2 linked regions of the Kluyveromyces lactis genome follow. The protein of the gene in region 2 purifies or fractionates together with the protein of the main gene of each other region. This does not show direct contact. Links are inferred from orthologs where the notes say so. Each region holds a gene or a part of one and is shown on either strand. Other genes may lie near its edges.

Region 1 (3,372 bases), on a different chromosome or scaffold from region 2:
AATGAAACCAACAACATTCGTGCTAAGAAGCAGCTTCCAGAGGAAGTATCGCAGCCTCCTGTAATACCACAGTTATCCACTCATAAATCAACGTCTATCTCTCCTACATCATCTGATCAAAGAACCAATTCGCACGATAGATTGACCAGATTCCAGCTAATTACTGGCAGTTCAAGCAACAAACAAGAGAAAGACACGCTAAAGCAAAAATTGAATAAGCGGTTGAGTGAAGTGATGCGTAACCAGCAAGAGCAACAAATGCGGAAAAAGTATGAACTCCAACAGAGGAGGATTTCTCAGGCAGATGAGGATACTAAAAGAAGAACAAAGATTCTTTTAGATCGTAACAACGCAACATTACCGCCACTCTCTAAATCTGCCAGTACAAATTCCATGTTACATGATATCAATACAGTTGATTATAGGGAATATATCGGCGCACCACCAAAAACGGAAAGAACTTCCAACGATGTTACTTTACCTGAAATCATTTCTGATGATGAAGGTAATAACCAAGTAGAGCGGACACTGACTTCGTGGGCTGAGCCAGAAAAACTAAAGCAACAATTGTTGTTGCAACAAAATTGGGATATAGAGCAAATATTAGGCCCCATTCCACCGCTACATATCGATGAGATCTTTCAAACTAGCACTTCAAGACTACAAAAACTTAAGAAAAGGTAAATTACCTTAATTCATAGTGACGTGTCTATATAATGCAATATCTAGTGTCTGTAATATCTACAATCGTTTCATTATTGCTGCATTCTTATCCCAGTTATCTAGCCATCCTTGTGCCTCCGTTTTTGGTACAAAGTATACTCTTAGAGACTTATCGAAAAGAGGAGCCTTAGGCTTCTCCATCTTCAAAACATCATGGAAGGTAACTTTTTTACCAATCTTGATCAAGCCTCCAGACAGAGTTTCCATGTATGCATGAAGTTTAGATGCAGTAAAATCTTTGTGCCCTGGTTGTGCAAACCATTCTGCCGGTCTGTTAAGTACAACATCAAGAAGGTCATTTGGTGTGGATAGTTCAGAAACAGACGCGATAAAGTCAAACTCGTCCGTAGTCGGATAAAGAACCATAGCTGGAAATATTAATTGTGATTCGAAATCTGTTGGGTTTTCCAATGTGAGTTTAGTATCTTTCAAAAGACCTGCTGGTTGTTTGGTATCAACTAGCGTTATGTTTCTTATTTGTACTGCCAGATCCAAAAACTCTTGGAGTTCCTTTTCCTTCTGTTTTTGAGCTAAAGTACGATTCTCCAGCTCCTTTTTACGTTTAAGCTTTTCAGTAGCTTTGGACTGGATGGATTTTAATGCCCCATTTTCAGGATCCACGGCAAGCCCAACTTGAACGGCCTCGAGAGAATCTTCGAACCTTCCCAATTCGAGATAAGCCTTACCTATTCTGAAAAATGCCTTAACGTTTTTTGCATTTAGTTTGAGTGCCTCCCTACAGTAATTGATACAACTTCTATAGTTTTTAATTTCAAGCTCGCAAGCAGCCAAATTCAAATACAAAGATTCATTGATAGATAGTACATCACATTTAACATCCAAAGCTTTCAAATACATAGCCCTTGCATCCTTAAACCTCTTACCCTTGTAAAGATCGTTCCCTTGATTCTTGAAATTAGTTGCAATTTCATGGGGCTCACCTTCATAGGCCATGGCTTTTAAGGCTTCCAACTCTACATTGCTTTCATCTGGGTCAAGTTTGTTCATAAAAAATGGCATCTTATTTAACTCCTCCAATACCTCATCAGTGGTTTTATTTTGGAACTCAGATAGTTGTGGTGGTAAAAGTGGGTCATTTGGACCTGGAACATACCTCTTTGGTTTTTCCATTGTGAGCAGGCCTTAGTAGATATCCTCCTTTTAAACCCTTCAGATAATACAGATAATGTTAAATTTCTGACGATGTGAATCAGGCAGGAATTTGACTATACCAAGTGCGTTATCAGAAGCTGTGGAGACAGAGTAACTGGCTTTTTTGAACAGTCACTTTCCGCTCGATGAGATGAGATGAGATTTTTTTCCTAGAACTTGTAAAATTCTGTGTCAAAGCTCTCTTGGCGAGTCGAGAAAAAGATCAACAAACCACGTGATTTAGTGAATGGTGGTGTCCATTACAACACCCGGTAATATTACCAGATTATATACTGGCAAGTAATCAAATAAATAAGAGTGAGTACTAAAGTTTAAAAAACTGTATGCGCCCCAAATTGTATTGTTCTATCAGTATCGTGGGGAATGGGGGGAAGGGGAGAATTAATATGATAAGTGTGGATGGTGGCCAGGTGAGATTCCATATCAATAGCCTCGGCCACTATAATCTTTCCAATTAAAGGGTTTTTCAATGCCTTGGGCCTCGTAATATTGAATACCACAAGCGTAATCCCTGAATGTGAAATCGGTTTTTGGGTCACAGTAACATTTACCCTTGGCTCTAATTCCGCTGTCGAACGGACAATTGTTGTATGGAGGGTGATGATATCCAATATCTTGGAAAAAGTGCAATTTGTTGCGAGGCAAGAAAAGCGATGCAGCAATTGAATGTACGGGAGCATCACCCCAGCGTTCGTAGAAGAATCCACCTGAGCGATCAAGATAATCGAAATAGTCCGTGTATGCTTTTGATCTGTAGAAATTTAGGTTGGCGACTTCGAAATTCGACCAGAAATGACACAAGTTATAACTATCACCACCATCATCGGATATGAACTTCAACAAATTGTCGTTATGGATGTATTCTGAATGTTTTTCTGCGAACCCACGAGTAGTGTTCCATAAAGTTGGGATTGTGATGACAAATTCATGGATAGAAATGACGAATCCGAGACCTAAGTCTTTATCCTGCATCTGTTGGAAGATATCATAATCGATGGAGCATAGCAATTCGGTACTTGGTTCGACACGCCAGTACCAATCGAACTCGGCTAATAATGGATGTTGGAAAAAGAACCCCGATTGAAAGCGACACATGTGACGATAACTCTCGGAAGCACCGTAGATTATATCCTGCATGTCAATTCTAGTTTGAGCTGCACGTTCTTTAGAAACATAATCTGGGTATGACCAGTGTTCCTTCGGTATAACACCGAATTGAGAGTTTGGAACAATGGCAGAGATACGTTCTTTGAACTCTTCGGTAAATGGTTCATCGTTTAGGAAGATCCATGGATAATTAAACTTATTGTTGAAACGATCTTCGACAGATGAAATCGATTTAGCCAAATCCCATAGTTCTTCATTCCGGACCAATGATACGAAACATGCCTTGGGTTTATCCTTGGTCCCATGAACCACGGAGTCATACACAGCCCCAGATCCAGCAGCGTCGAAAGGGTAGCGTTTTTCCCACTT
Region 2 (3,276 bases):
ATTATACTTGCAATTGAGAGACCGAAATATCGATTATTACAACGCAGCATTAGAGGTAAATGAAAGCTTAGAGTATGAAATTATTATGCGCGTTGCTACTATATACACCCGCATGGGATGTGATTACATAGCTGTTTCTCTTTTGAAGGATTGGAAGTTTTTGGAAAGTAAGAAGATTGAATCCGAACAGGTTGAAATCCCTCAAAGTTCCCACTCGAAGTTGACAGATAACAAGATTGAAGAGCCGGTCACAACACAAAAGGTACGCCCAAGTCTCTTTGATAAGTTTGACTCTCAATTCTCGGAAAATACGCGATCTGTATCCTCGTCCACGAGTGAGTCAAAAAGTATTCTCAACCCTACTTCTAGGGATATAAACTCTTCAAATGGACACTCAGGTAAAAGTGCAGGCTCTAGTTTCAACATTCTGGATTCTTACAGAAGTGACACTCAAAAAGTGACCCCATCTCAAGTGCCGAATATGCTGGACAGTTTCAAGGAAAATCAAAAAGATACGATACAAAAGAAACTTCCCACACAACAAAAGTCCCCATTGGATGATTATCAGGCAAGTACTAATAAACCATTCGTTCCGCAGCAACACTTACAAAATTCAAAGCCCAAAAAGACAGCGAAGCCTAGAAGTTTATTAGATGATTTTATATAAAGGTAAAAGGAATGAATAGCATCCCTAATCAGTTAAAGAATTTACCTATGCTTTTTTTCCTTCTTTCGAGATCGCTCGCGATTTTCTTCTCTGTAATATCTATTTTCTGCTCGACGTTCTTATCCTCGGGAACTGTCTTTGCGCTGTTCTTATAGTCAGTGAGAGCGGCTTCAAATCTATTCAAAGCATAAAGACAATTGCCCCTTCTTAAGTATGCCTTTGCCTTGTCTTTGTTTCCTACACGGTCATCATCCACTAAAAAGGTAGAGTATTTGATTGATTCATGATACTCTTTCAAATAAAATAGCATCAGACAGATGTTCAAATATAGTTTATGTTTCTGGATAGTGAACTTCTCATTATGAAACTTGTCTATATCCACTTCAGGAGTATATGCAGTAGTATATTTCAAGGCCTTCTTGTATTTGAAAAGAGCGTTCCTAAAGTCTCGTTTCTTGAATAGCAGAGAACCAGATTCTTTAATGGTCTCTGCTGCTTCATATGCTTTGGCAAAATCTTCGCCTTCGAAGTGGGTGTCATCATCTGGATTTTCTTCATAAAAATCATTACCAATTGTATCGTTGCATGCATTATAAAGAGGTATTTCCATATTATCAGACCATTCACCGCAATCTTCTATGATTATTGAATCATTTGGTACTCCATTTTCATCGACATCCATATGCTCAATTGTGCGAACAACAGATTTACCTGCTATCACTTTTCCAAACTGAGAATGTTTACCGTTTAGATGGGGAGATGGATAAGTAGTAATGAAGAACTGAGAACTGTTGGTATTCTGTGAACCAGTGTTGGCCATAGCCAATATGAAGCTTTCGGTAAATTCACCCAAATTTTCATCTGGAAAGTTCCCAAAACATTGAATTTCATTTCTAGATGAATTTTCCAACTCAGATTCAGTCGCATAAATTGAGCAACCGCCTTTTCCAACTTCTTCTTTGTTAATCTTGTCGTCAGAACCGAACATCAAATCTCCAGCTTGAATCATAAAATTCTTAATGATTCTATGGAAGTGATTTCTTTTATAGCTTAACACTTTACCATTAAGATTGACATCTCCTCTGCATAGATGTATAAAGTTAGCACATGTTTTAGGGGCTTGTTCGTCGAACAGTTCGCATACGATTCGGCCTATTGGCTCATCGCCGATCTTAATATCAAGATATACTTTGTGCATTTCAACAATGAATTCAATCTTACAGGAGGAGCAGTTATCCTTTTTGACCTATTACCTTATCTTTTTCTATTGTTACTTTGACCACAGCTATAAAGCGCAACTTAGCTTTGGAACAAGGAGGCTTTAACTGATGGGATGAGGTATTCGTTCTCATCTCATCACTGTTCTTAAACTAGCTGTTCATTCGTAATGTCAAATTCGTAGATCATTTTGTCCGGGTAAGAAACTTTTATCAAAGTTCAGGCGATCTGGTATTGGGACCTCGAAATCAAACAAAACTTTGGGAACAGTGTGATAGGTAAGTAAGAGGGAGAAGGAGAAGGAGAAGAAAGGAAGGACTTTTGATCGCGATTAGGGTTCTACGGTTGACTAAGCTTGAACCACTTCAAAAAATGTATCGACAAGAAATGACTCGTGATAATGTGGCTGTTGATCCGGTCACAATTGTCATCAAGGAATGTATTTCTTTGTCGACTTCTATGAGGAAGTACGCGAAATATTCGGTGCAATCTGGTGTTGCAGCCTTGTTAGGGGGGGGAAGTGATATATTCATAAATCAGGACGCTTCATTGGCAGGTACTTTCAATAATTTAGCAGCTAGTAAGACTAAGGATCCACTACTGTCGGGGTTAATTCAGTTGAGATTGATGTTAAATCATAAAGATAATTTAGAAGATGTTGATGCGCTAACTGTCTTGCAACCTTTCTTATTGGTGATAAGCACAGCTTCAACGTCAGGATATATTACATCATTGGCCTTAGACTCATTACAAAAGTTTTTCGCCTTTGGTATTATTAACGAATCTTCGAAAAACCATGTCGCAGCTTATAGACAAACGATCAACTCTTTAACCCACTGTAAATTTGAAGGTACTGAACATTTATCCGATGATTCTGTCCTTTTAAAGGTATTGGTTCTTATTGAATCAATTATTGCTTCTCCTTCAGGTGAGATTCTTTCCGACTCATGTGTGTACGATGTGTTACAAACTGTCATGTCCTTGGCTTGTAACAAAAGAAGAACTGATGTGTTGAGAAAGGCAGCAGAAATGAGCATGCTATCGATTACCGTCAAGATATTTGACAAGTTGAAAAAGTTAGACTCAAGCAAACAACACATCTTCATTAACGATCAGGACTTCTCGAAGAACGTTTTGAAAGATGACAACATAGGTGCCGAAGGAAGCAGTGACATTGATTCCGTTGAAAATGGCAATTTTACAGCATCAAGTGAAAGTCAAAATTTAGAATCGGACTACGGACTTGCAGTTATAAAAGATTATATGGACATTTTAGTGTCTCTTTTGTTGCCTGAGAACCAACACAAACAAAACAATTCCACTAAGGTGTTTGGTCTGCATTTACTAAATACAGCCATTGAATTAGCTGGCGACAAATTCCCACAACATCC

What was found.
Region 1: the proteins of CPR7 (region 2) and CNS1 purify together in Saccharomyces cerevisiae (affinity purification with western blotting; 3 studies listed by BioGRID, with this or other methods). This does not show direct contact. The link is inferred for Kluyveromyces lactis from reciprocal best matches to the Saccharomyces cerevisiae genes CPR7 and CNS1.

Annotation. Positions count from the first base shown.
Region 1 is NC_006038.1:872,019-875,390, forward strand, and holds CNS1 (HSP70/90 family co-chaperone CNS1), read right to left. Parts: upstream 1,855-3,372; coding exon 742-1,854; downstream 1-741. Other genes in the region: SLI15 (Sli15p), read left to right, coding at 1-684; KLLA0_B09988g (glycosyltransferase family 15 protein), read right to left, coding at 2,320-3,372. UniProt on the Saccharomyces cerevisiae protein: Co-chaperone that binds to the molecular chaperones Hsp90 (HSC82 and HSP82) and Hsp70 (SSA1). Stimulates SSA1 ATPase activity, but not Hsp90 ATPase activity. Involved in only a subset of Hsp90 functions.
Region 2 is NC_006041.1:2,026,534-2,029,809, forward strand, and holds CPR7 (peptidylprolyl isomerase CPR7), read right to left. Parts: upstream 1,866-3,276; coding exon 696-1,865; downstream 1-695. Other genes in the region: RAV1 (Rav1p), read left to right, coding at 1-667; KLLA0_E22727g (uncharacterized protein), read left to right, coding at 2,258-3,276. UniProt on the Saccharomyces cerevisiae protein: PPIases accelerate the folding of proteins. It catalyzes the cis-trans isomerization of proline imidic peptide bonds in oligopeptides. Plays a major role in negative regulation of the heat shock transcription factor (HSF).